Tribolium castaneum: one gene and its partner. The protein of the gene in region 1 interacts with the protein of each later gene in a pairwise test. Links are inferred from orthologs where the notes say so. Each region holds a gene or a part of one and is shown on either strand. Other genes may lie near its edges.

Region 1 (6,048 bases):
TTTAAAACAAATTCAAGACTTATGTACAATTAAAATTTTCCAATGAACATGTCATGGTTGGTTATAGTGACTACTAAACCCTTCTCATTCTTAACACTGGTATCATCTTTATAATCAATTAATTCGTTAAATTTCGTTGTCATTTTACCTCCCACTGCCTTTATTATAGCGTTTCCTGCACAAATATCCCACTTCTTGATGGCAGTTGTGTGCAAATAAGCGTCCACATTGCCCAAGGCAACTTCCAAAGCTTTATAGCCAGCACCGGCGGCTTCAATTATGTCCACATTTTTCATTTTTTCACTCAAAACTTTCTTTATTTCACCGCTGTGCGACATTGAGATTATAATCTTTATATTTTCACTCTTGCTCCTCTAAAAGACAAATTTATAACCTGATCACCATGTGACAGTGTTGTATACCTACCGCATATTTTAAGTTTGAAGATTTTGCTTTGCCAACCCATGCCCAAAATGTGTGAGATTCAGTGTTAAAAGGTTTGTGAATGACACCAATAACAGGTTCTTCTTTTACAGCAACGCAAACCATTGTAGTCACATACTTGTACAATTTTCCTAACAAAGATTCACTTAACAAATGCTTAAAATGCAAGTATTTAGTACAGTACCAGTGTATTCATAAGTTGCATCTAGTGGATCAATCCATACAGAAATATCCCTAATTTCTTCCAAATGGTCATCTAAGCTCTTAGGAATGGTTACATGTCCCAAGTAATCGATTTCTCTGTCGTCACACTGGACCTTTTTCTCCTCTGAAATTATATGCAGGGTGGGATATGCATGTTTCAAAGTTTTCATAATAGCACAGTGTGACGAATAATCTGCAGTGGTGACCCTATCTTGCATTCCTTCTTTCGTCAACCCTTTGCTTTTTACTTGTAAATTGTCCTTGTTCGCAACCACTTCTTTGCCCCCATTTTCCGCTGCCTTAATTGCTACCTCCAAGAGCTGCTTTAAATTTATCTTAACGCTTGGAGGATCATTATTTGAACTTGTAGTAAACACGTAAATAAACAATATCAGCACAGCTCCCGATATTACACACAGCCCTGTCTTGTTTAGTCGGATAACACCCCCAAGATTCATTGTTATGCAGCCGATGAGTCTCTATCTACATCATTCGCTTTTTGTACTTATTTACTAAAATATTTTCAATTAATCAACCAATATCATTCAATACCACCGGTCTTACAGTTGAATAACAATTATCTTAAGACTATTTAGAAACAAACGTCATCGCATTTTTGCACCTTACAAATAATCAAAAAAACCTTCAACCACAATAATGGTGAAGTTAGTCACAAAATCACCAAACGCTAAACGTCATTTTCAAGGATAGGGCATAGGCATAGGCGTGCGAAATTTTTTTCATAATACAGATAATAACTGTGATAATAATAATAAAAGCACTACCACAAGCAGTACTATTTGCTTCCCAATTTAAATTTTACATTTGTTTTAGAAATCCACCGGGTGGTTATCAAATATTGTATAAAACAATCATAGCCAACTTACGTCAAATGTCGCTGCGCTCCATGGAGTTTTTGTTTAGGAAAAAAAATCTATGTTAAACTTAATCTCAGCGACACACTTTGAGCTAAGAAAACCCACCAAAAACTCTCAATTTGTGCTCCTTTTAATCAAAAAATGCTGTTGCAAAATTCTACTGTAAACTGAAATGAATATATATATTTGCTTTCCTGCTAATTCCGGTCAATAATTAAGTAAAAAACAACTTCTTAACACTCTGCAATTCAAGTACTACCGGACCAAATTTTACATTCAGTTCATTTTTATAAAAAAACATTTTGGTGGAAATTGGGTACTCTTGGCATTAACTTTTATATGAGTTGTCATAGTAAAATCTTAGTTAATTCCGCCACAATGTTTTTTATGAAAATGAACCAAAATTAGTTTTTTTTTAATAACGTTTTATTTTATATTTAGGATTAAGCCCTTATTAATAGACAACTATATTCGGTTCACTTTCATAAAAACCATTGTAGTAGAAATTTGGTACTCTTGGCATTAACTTTTATATGAGTTGTCAAACCGAAAATAGAAATATAACTTTTCTGTGACATAGCGGAAAATCAAATCAGTCAAATTGTGGTATTAAAAAAATTCGACACTTTTGATGAATCTTTTAAAAAAGCGTTCACCATAGGGCACTTGGGTCTTGGTTTTTCTATAGTAGTGTATACATAAGACAAATCGTTGAGGCTGGCAAAAAAATCCTCGATTTGTCCCCATGGTCTCTCCGCCACTGGCGGGAATGAATAATAGAATTATTTACTTTGGAACCATGGTTATCTGTCCATTGTTCGTGAATTGAGGAGCATTGGGGGACAGTAGGTAATTTGGTCGGTTGTTTTGAACGTCAAAAGTAAGTTTTTGGCTATTTATTTGAAGCTAAATTAAAGTCTGTTGATCTGTGTTCAGTTAAAATCTCACAATCTAATCTGTGGTATGATGAAAAGTTAATTCCAAAATGGCAGGGTTGTCGCCGTCTGAAGTAAGTAAATTGCATTGTTTTTCTAACCTCTTCACGAAATCTCTCAATTTAGAGAAGGTTGCAAAAGGAGCTCATGTCACTGATGAAAGAACCTCCACCAGGAGTTGAAGTCGACTTCGATCTGGCAGAGCAAAATTTATTGCAGTAAGTTAGCAATAAACTGCCAATAACAATGCTAAATACATGACTTCTAGTTGGATCATTAATATGGAAGGGGCTGCAGGTACATTGTACGAAGGAGAACGTTTTCAATTGCAGTTTAAATTTAGTAACAAATATCCCTTTGATTCACCAGAAGTATGGGATTTTTTGTTAGACTAGTATTGTGTTTATATTGTTTGCGTTCCAGGTGACGTTTGTAGGCAATAACATTCCAGTTCACCCGCATATTTACAGCAATGGACATATTTGCCTTTCCATATTAACAGATGATTGGTCTCCTGCACTGTCTGTTCAGTCTGTTTGTCTTTCAATTGTTTCTATGCTCAGTAGTTGTAAAGAAAAGGTGAGACCTTATTTAGTATTACAGTATTTTTAATCTTGTTTTACAGCAAAGACCTCCCGATAATGCTTTCTATGTAAAAACTTGCAATAAAAATCCAAAGAAGACAAAGTGGTGGTATCACGGTATTATCTCCTATAATGTAACCCACAATTCCTGATTATTTTATGTTTCAGATGATTCTGTATGAAACTATATAAATAACTTATGGTCTTGTGATTTTAATGATTCTGTTACGCTGGATGCTGTTAGTTTTAAATTTTTAATAGATGTTATTTATTATGACAAAGCTAATTATAAAATATCTTTAGAATTGGATTAACAGTTTTTACATAGTGCCTGTCCTCCAGATGTTGTGTTGTAATTAATTAAATATAAGAGTTAAAATTAATATTTTAAACCCGCCCTGGGCTGTTGCTTATTTCTTACCCGTGTACAAATTTTACGTCTATCAATTAACAAAATCAAAACCGAAAAATCTTTGTTTTAAAGGATTCCTTAATTATCGGACTCGTTTCTGATAAATAAATGAGAAAAAAAAATTAGGAGAAAATAAACGCAACCCAACATACACGCACCTAATTTTCGTTAGGTTGGTATTAAAGGCGTGGTCGGGGATTTACCCACATATGTGAAGACAATCACTTGACATTTATCAAAGCGCATTCGAAATAGTATGTTACGTGTCATGTGGGTGCAGCAAAATTAAATTTTCGATTTAAAGACGTATCTAAGCACGAACTCAGATACAAAATTTTGATGATGTACTAAAAGGCTCTTCTGGGTTACCTTTTGTTTTTGGTAGTAGCTGCGGTAGTGTTTTTTTTTGAAGTGAATATAAACCATAAAGGCTAAGAAGGTTTGAATAAAAGTACATTGGTTCAAATGCAATTTGGTAACACGTCATCGTCATTGTCTGGATAAAGTGTGTTGCAACGTGCAATATTAATTTTACCTTTGTCTTTGTCTTGATGAGCCTTGTACTTTGTTACTTAATTATTACCTGCTATTAATTTGGTATGAATCCCGAAAAACCAAAACCTGAAGTTCCAGCAGGGGCCGGAAGCAGTTGGAGAAATTCCACAGGTAAGAAAATGTGAACCAATATAAGTATTAAGTGAATCTTTTTATAAATCATAAAGACTATAAATGGGCACAATAAAAAAAGAGTTCCAATTACACTGTGTGAAAACAAATATTTTAATTTAGACGAAATAACTATACTAAATATTCCATCGCTTAATCGGATAACAATTTGCTGTGGTACCATTTAATAGGTATTTGTTAGAAAAAACTTTGGTAGGAATTTTATTACACCCTCGGACTCCACTATTTTAATAACTACGAGGTTGTGACTCTTGGTTATGTAACCTTCTGAGCTTTTGAATCCTCACCCGTAGTGCAATTTCCAGGCGCTTGTTTGTAATAAAATAATGTAGTACTATTGTTAATATTACTGCTACTATTTCTGTAAATTTATATTACTGCTTAAGAACAAAAGGACTTAAATCAATGTTTATTATTAGAATTCCCCTGGAGTCAGGCATCTGTTGTATACCTCAGACCTCTGCCAATGGAGTTATTTTGGTCTTTTGCTTTCGAGAATCCCTTCCTAAAGATTTTTTTCATGTCTTTTGTGCAAAATACATTAAAAAAATGACAAAAAGTCAAATCGAATTAAAATTTTATTTCAATTAAATGGCAAATGTGAGCTAGAAAATTTGATTTCTACTTAATTTTTGACAATGTTTTATGTATTTTTTACACAAAACAACATTGAAACATCGTTTATAGTTTTAGAATGTTGACAAAATTGTTTCATTATTTCTAATGATCATTAAAAATAATAAACAATGTCTTGTTTAGCGATTTATTTAATTAATTAATAGGTACAAGAAACTGAAATTTCTATCAACGCTGATTTTTGTGTGATACTAGTGGTTCTTGAGATACAGGAAAAATAGGTACGTTTTTGAAAAATAATAAAGAGTTGAAATAATTATTTTTATTATCTTGAACAATCTAATCTGGCTTTCTACTATTGATTTTTAAATGATTAGGGGAATGATTGTAATTTGTTTTCAATTCAATAACAACAACAAAAAACTTTTAACGAGAAATCAATCAATTACAATATTTGGATGTTCTTAAATTATCATTACCTCACAAAAGTTCCTGAATTTTTATCTTTTACGTGTATTTGGAAGTATAGTTTTTACAGCAATGGTTTTCTGGAAAGTTTTTACAGAAAAAGGTAGTTATGGTCTATTGTCGAAACCCCCAACAATTTTTGTCGTAAAATACTATAAGTAGGTAAATACTTCTAAGAAAAAAAGAAAAATTATCCAGATCAGTTTTTATTTATCGACAATTTCATCATCTTTACCAATGTACCAATTTTACCCAGTGCCTTAATTGTTAATTAACAGTTAATAAATTAATAATAATCTATGTTCAATAATATAAATGAAATTAAAATTTGATGTCAAGTTTCAAAATAAAGGCAACAATTAAAATTTAAATATTGTTTTACTTGGAGCACGTCTTCGGCGTGTATCTCTATTGTAAGCTGGTTAACAATAATAAAAAAATCAATTCACCGTTCTTCGGGTAATTCTTTTATTTCAAATATTCGCTGTTGGTTGTAGATAATGCCAGAGGCACGCCTAAATACTTCGGCCCAAGGAGAACTCTTGGCCAGCGGTGGATACCACCGAGTGGGTCCAAAACTAACAACCAGGATGCAACAGTTCAGTTGAGACAAACAAAATCAATGGGATTTAAGTTCCTTGAGGATTTATCAAACAACGATCCCGAGAAAATAATATTGGTGTTGATGAAGGAACGTGAGGGCCTTTTACGTTTATTGGAAAGAGAAGTTAGCAACGACGTTATTGTCCTTTTAATCTCAATTCTGCGCAAAGTTTGCTTCTCTTCATTCGATGAAACAAAATACAGTGTACTCCAGTCAACCCTCAATGAAAAATTCACTAATAAAATAAAAACATTCA
Region 2 (6,502 bases), on another chromosome or scaffold:
AATTATCGGAACAAGTTTAATAAAAGATTTCGTTGCCCAAACCTCAGGGATGCAAAAAACCAAAGTGTTTAAATTGCCGTAATTCTCGAAGTGCATGGTTTGGTTTATGGATTCAGTCACATAAGACAACCATTCGATAAACCCCCACGAAATTCCCCCACTTGGGGCGACTTGTTCCACACTTTCCAGCACTTTGATTTCAACCGGAAACACATTAGGGACCAGTTTTTTGAATTTTGGACGTTTCGTCACTCGCTCAACCACCTTCAGTTTCGGCACCCTGTCAGGTTTAGGCGTGCTTTTAACACTTTCAACTTGTGGCCCTTCGGAGCCGTTCTCCAATTCGTAATTAATGAAATGACTAAACTCTTGCGCACATTTCGGGTCGCTGGCAAGGGCACAAATGCACGCATAATAGTGCACACATTTGAGTCGGACATTGCTCGCCTTGCTTATAATCCCTGAAACTGGTCCAAAAATCACCGAAACGTCCCACTGACTCGCAAAAGCTACCCATAAATTCGGTACAACTGCAGTAATACTTGTCGTAAATCTCGCGGCCTTTCGTGCACCCGAAGGTAAAGTGGAGGTACCCCAGGGGGTGTTTGGGGCTCACTTGGCACTTGACCGCCATCACGGTCCGCGAGACTCTCTGCACCAGAGGCCCCTCTTTCTCCGTGGCCAACTGCCACAGCTTCGCTTTAATTTCTTTCGAAACCTTCAACGAGGCCAAAACCTCCTTTTGGACCTCAATGGGGGCTGCCATGCTCTGGCTCTTAATCGCCGCGTCGATGTGGACGCACAGCAGCGCGGTCTCGCTGTGCTCCAGCTCATGGCACTTGAGAATCGAGTCGTCGAACAGCCTCTGGCACGAATCAACGAAACACAGGGCGTCCTGTTCGGGGTTCAGCAGCGGCAGCTGGACGAAGCCCCGGTGGTCGGGCCCCCGGTCGCGCACCCGCACCGAGTACACCTGGCGCACGATCCCGACGAGGCGCACGGCGTCCAGACTCAACTTGCGCTTGTCGGCGTAGTCTTTGAACACGGCGTCGCAGTGCTTGTTCTTGCAGATCATGCCCCGGGTGCCGTTGTAGATGCCGCACTTGGGGCATTTTTTTATGCCCCGTTTCGTGGGCCGGCCCAAATCGGCGAAGGGTTTGGCCGGAGAGGAGCACGCAGGGAGGAAGGTGTAAATGGACTGGGTCGCATTCATAGCACTGAGGGGCTATAAATAGACGCAAGCCAAGAAAATTTGGGGCAACGGGCGGGGCCGAAAGCAAACAAAGTCTGGCTTTTTGACAATCATCAATTTATTTATAACACATGTTACAAGTTTATCCTATGGTTTATGTTTTTTTTTTAAATTTGAATTTTTGATTTTGAGAGAGGGCGCTTCGGTCGTTTTGAAATTTAAACATTATTTAAATTACAAAATTATGTACTGACTCGCATAAAAACACAAGCAATTTTTCATTTCTTTATTAAATAACACGCAAGGTTTTTGTAACAACTAATTCTTCGCCCAAAATTTGTGGATCAATATTGTTTTGACAGATCGCATCCTGCGTTTAGCCGCGTCCAGCTGATTTCTGTCACTTTGAATTTCCAATCAATCGATAGCCCCCGTGTTTATTTCCAGTTTTCGCTCCTTAGAACCGTCCAAACATTGTTTCCCTTGACCTGATGCTGATAAAAATGCTAACGAGTCAAATCGGCACTGTTTTGAAACAAGCAGTCACCACCTTCACCAACAAAGAGCTGTTCTTCCAAAACATGGAGATCCTCAAAGCCCTTTTGGACAAAACCACCGCCGAGGACGTGAACCTGCACCCCCAGTTCATGACAGAGGCCCTGTGGCAGCGCCCCAACAAGGCCCCAGTGACCTACATTGACATCTACGAGGATTATAACCTCACAATCGGCATTTTCATTCTCAAACCCGATATGAAGCTGCCCCTGCACAACCACCCCCAGATGCACGGGCTCATTAAGGTGGTCGGGGGGAAACTCAAAGTCACCAGTTACTCGCTAAACACTGAAAAGACGCGGCAAGTGGACGGGAAGGCCCCCCCAGGGTCGAAGTTCCTAACAGCCGAAAAATGCGCCGAGAATTTACTAGAAACCCACAGTGAGTGTTGTGTGCTTGAACCCGAAGTGCGGAATTTACACGAGATTGAGAGTGTGGGGGGCCCAGCGGCGTTCATTGACATTTTGGCGCCCCCTTACGAGACTGTTATTCCGGGGAATGGGGCACGCAAGTGCTCCTATTTCCGGGTCTTGAGGGAGGTGGCCCCCAGTGTGTTCAGAATGCAGGAAATCACCTCGCCTAGTTGGTACTGGACTGACTCGTTTCCCTACACAGGACCGGACTTGTCCTAGCGAAGGGCTTAATCTAATTTCTGTTATCTAGTCTCTTTAGCTTAGGACTTGCCAGTGTATAATTCCGTTCTTGTGATAAGATAACGCATATTAAGTTTAAAATTTGTCTAAAAATGTTTTATTCAACAGAACTGCTTTTTTAATAAATCTGAAGTCTTGGTTACTTGCAAAAATATTTCGTTTAACAAGTGATCGAGTGACCCGTGCCGTCACGGGTCACTTGATCGAAATTTATCAATTCAAGTCAAATAAACAAGGAATGCTCAACTAATTAACCTATAAAAAATATTTGTCCTATTAATTAATTTAATCAGAATTTCTGTTATGATGTAAATAAGTAGAAATATTGGCTTCAGTGTAGTCTAAAATCTTGCGTTGGCATTGCCGGATGTACTGTTGTTGTTTATGATAAATCCTTAAAAATCCCTTAACTGTGATAAAAGTAATTCCACCTAAAATCGTTCGATGAAAATTCGATTTCACTGAACTATAAAATAATTTTCCGAATAAATTCGCTATCGTAGGCATGAGTAAAGCCCCGCATAAAATTCGCGTCGCTGAGACAGGGCTGCTGACTGGAGGCAGGTCATTATCGACCGTTGTATCACTCTGGAGGACATCACCCCTAAAAACATACGCATTTTTTTCTAAACAAAGTGACCTGTGACAAAAAAAATGCCAACACCAATCATTGCCAACTTCATTTCAGTCATAGGCCACCTGATTTTTTTCTAAACGAAGTGACCTGTGACTTTTAAATAAAGTTGGCAACACCGATTATTTATGCATAGGCCACTTGATTAAGTAAAAAATATGCACCTGAACGGCAGTACGTTGTGAATAATGGGGATTTTGGGGCAATGCCGTCTCATGAACTTCAAAACGGCGTCTTCCCAGCAGATCAGGCGCCCCAAAATCAGGGCTACCGGGATAGAGGGAAGCCCCAAAAGGAGCACAAGGGGGTCAGCCTGCTCCATCAAATCAATCCCTTCCTTGTGTCCTATGACCTGCATCACAGTTATGGCCCCATACGTGACCCCCGTCCAGTAAATCGCACTGGCCGCAATCCCCGCTGCGAGAAACAACGAGCCCCGGAAAATAACACCATCTACCGTGTCTAGCAACAAGACAAACAGCCCCATATTCGGGAAGACTATGATATACTCGGTCTGGCATTGGGGGCACACCACTTTGCCCCCATGGCCCGACTTCTCCTTCTCATCGACCCAGCGTTTCAGACACGATTGGTGCACCTGGAAGCGGGGTTAGAGGCGTTTTGCGGGTCAGGGGGCACGTACCCATTTGGTGGTGCCGCGGCATTTGCACGGCTGGACCCACAGTGCGTCCAAGTCTTCGTCTTCGGTGGCAAAGCAGACCCAGCAGCATTTTCGCGAATCGCGCGGTTTGAGCTGGATGGGGGGCGCGGTGTCAGTGGCGCTTTCGAATGAGTCGTGGGGGTCCATGGGGCTTATATGGGGAGAGGCATGTTGAGGAGAGTGGATTTCCAAAATACGAAAATTTAACGAATGTCAAAAAAGTGTCAAAAAGCGGGACAGGTGCGCCAGATTGTGACAGTTAAAGTCACTAAAAGGGGGCTAAAATGAGGCTGGGGGGCACTGACAACGCAATTGGGGCATTTAATCACTTTTGTGCCTGTGGTACCGCAGAATTTGAGGCCCAAATCGTTCCGTTCATTTTTTTTTACTTTAGAGGTAACCTCACTTTTTATATTTAGGGAACCTAATTTGTAATTGGACAAAAATTCAAACATTTTTTTTTTCAATTGGAATGGATAAATGAAACTCAAATGTATATATAGTAATTTTTATTGTTTAAACGAAATAAAAACTCACTTTAAAAAACAATACTTTTATTTACAAAATTCTAAAGGGGGCTAAAAGCCTCACTTGCGTTTCTTCTTCCTGTCTAAACTGTTCAATTCGCTTTGCTGGATCGAAGCTTCGGCATAAATTCGTTTAACTTTTTCCTTGCGCTCATTATCACTACGGAAAATAATGTCATAACTGGAAAATAATTTTTTTGCCTACCTTTGTATGCGTTGATGAATTTTGACACGTCCCAGAAACGCCTTATCTCTCCGTATTTCACGCAATGCACCCTTCGTTTCTTTCTTAAGTTTATGTAACAATTTGTCACGCTCGGCTTTTTCCCTTGATTGAATTTTACGTTTTTTACCATCAAATCTACAATCATCAACTAACGAAAAACAAAAAAAAAATAATGATAACTCACACTTCCACAATTTTAGGTTCATATAAGCGTAGCGCTTTCGGTCGTTTTGCTGCCAAAACAATGTATTCTAATTTTCGCTCAACTTTGCGATTTTTTAATTGTTGTGAAACGCTTTCAAACAAATCGGCGACCTTTTTCGGGTAATTTCGCGTCGGTAGTAACTCCAAATACGCTCGAATATCGTTAAAAATCTCAACATTTGAGGGCAGAGAAACTAGATTATTGTCAAAGTCTTGAACTAGCCTTAAAACAGTATAAATTGCTCTGATTTTGAAAGAATCGTTAATTTCGTCCCTTTCTAAATCAGAAGCTTCCATTTTGAAATCACAATCCTCGCAAGACTTTTCAACAAGAACTAGAGAACTTGTCGTGGGCTTGAAGGGAGGATTGACTTTGATTAGTTTCACCCCACACTTGGGGATCGCCATATGCAAGATCCCTCCGAGATAATTAATCGCAGTCGGTAAAACCCGCTTCGATAGTGAAGTATACTAAAAATCGGTGGTTTAAACACAGTCCCACCAACCCAAAAACTCACCTCTAGAACCAAAGTCACTAAAAAAATCCCGTACGCGATATCTTTGCCACTTTTTATTTTACACTTATTCAAAATTTGTTCAATAAAAACAAAACACGGGGTCACAACCTGATGCCGAAAATCGGACGTTGTGAACAACAAACTGACCAGCTTGAAAAAAACCAACAACTCCAAGCCGGGAAAATCCTTCGGTCGTTTTTTAAACTCGTCGTGTTTTTCCTTAATCACTTCAAGCATCGAACTGTGGGTATTTTCTTTATTTAGCTGAGCCAAATCAAAAATGTGCGGAGCCAAACTTTTGTAAATTTCGAACAAACGGGCAGCGCTTTTTTCCGACGCACAATCGTTCAAATACTGCAATAAATAGACAAACAGTGTGCCAAGTCCGTTTTTGTTTTTTTCGGCGAGACTTGGGTGATTGCACTTGACCATTCTTTCAAGAATCGTGGCTTGTTGGCGACTCGATTTGTCGTCGAGGAGTTGCTGGAGGGCCTCGTAGGAGTCAGGCAGTGCGAACGTGAACGGCAGGTCGGCCGACGTTTCGTCGGTTTTTGCAACAACATCAGTCTTTGTGGCCTTGGCTTCGGTTTCCTCGTCACTTTCGTCGCTCGTTTCGGCCTTAAGATCGGCCAAATCATCATCGGACTGTTCTTCCTCCTCTTCTTCACACTCTTCTTCTTCGTCACTTTCTTCCCCACCAACAGTTTTCCCGTTTATCTCAGCCCCAATTTCCACATTTGCCTCCCCCTCCGTGTTGTAGCTGAGCATGTACTCAGGATCCGCCTCGTAAACATCATCGTCTAAATCGTCAGCACTGCGGTGCTTCTGAGTCTTGGGCTCAAACCCCCGCATTCGCTCCCGCCGCTTCTCCTCCAACTCCTCCAACCGCTGTTTTTCCTCCTGAGCCACCTCGTCCTCACTCTTCAACCGGTCGGAGACCGTCCCGCGCGCCTCAAACCTCAACTCACGCATGACCTTATCGTAGTCGTCGACGGCCCCCTTGTCGGGCTCCCCCTTCTGGGCCCTGCTCACCAGCGGCAGCAAGTCCTTCCACTCCGTGTCCAATTTCTCAGTGAGCTCGAGCGTCGCCTCCTTGGTGCGTTGCTTCTCAGCTTTGCGTTTCTTCGACTCGGCAATCAACTCGTCGATCAGTTCTCGGTGCGTCTTCGCCCCTTCTTTGCCCGTTTTGCGCAAAACGCCGCCCCCGAAGTGCGCGTCCCCCACAAACGCTGAGTCCAGCTTACCCGACTTGTCCTCATCCGAGTCCTCGTTATCCGACCTCGGGTCGTCGAATTTCTCTATTTCGGCAAGAGTTTGCCCCTTGTGGGTCAG

The links.
Region 2: the proteins of ubiquitin-conjugating enzyme E2 W (region 1) and E3 ubiquitin-protein ligase MARCHF5 interact in binary tests that used the Homo sapiens proteins (3 or more experiments, as listed by UniProt). The link is inferred for Tribolium castaneum from reciprocal best matches to the Homo sapiens genes UBE2W and MARCHF5.

The regions. Positions count from the first base shown.
Region 1 is NC_087394.1:30,472,519-30,478,566, forward strand, and holds ubiquitin-conjugating enzyme E2 W, read left to right. Parts: upstream 1-2,248; 5' UTR 2,249-2,406; intron 2,407-2,462; 5' UTR 2,463-2,511; coding exon 2,512-2,535; intron 2,536-2,587; coding exon 2,588-2,679; intron 2,680-2,729; coding exon 2,730-2,832; intron 2,833-2,884; coding exon 2,885-3,040; intron 3,041-3,086; coding exon 3,087-3,162; intron 3,163-3,213; coding exon 3,214-3,227; 3' UTR 3,228-3,428; downstream 3,429-6,048. Other genes in the region: putative inositol monophosphatase 3, read right to left, coding at 30-374, 427-575, 629-1,106; NFX1-type zinc finger-containing protein 1, read left to right, coding at 4,057-4,123, 5,686-6,048. UniProt on the Homo sapiens protein: Accepts ubiquitin from the E1 complex and catalyzes its covalent attachment to other proteins.
Region 2 is NC_087395.1:24,412,588-24,419,089, reverse strand, and holds E3 ubiquitin-protein ligase MARCHF5, read right to left. Parts: upstream 4,082-6,502; 5' UTR 3,843-4,081; coding exon 3,678-3,842; intron 3,633-3,677; coding exon 3,199-3,632; intron 3,005-3,198; coding exon 2,686-3,004; 3' UTR 2,482-2,685; downstream 1-2,481. Other genes in the region: uncharacterized protein C2orf42 homolog, read right to left, coding at 43-467, 514-1,213; 2-aminoethanethiol dioxygenase, read left to right, coding at 1,684-2,379; l(3)07882 (nucleolar protein 14 homolog), read right to left, coding at 4,283-4,382, 4,428-4,583, 4,633-5,123, 5,171-6,502. UniProt on the Homo sapiens protein: Mitochondrial E3 ubiquitin-protein ligase that plays a crucial role in the control of mitochondrial morphology by acting as a positive regulator of mitochondrial fission and as an important regulator of immune response.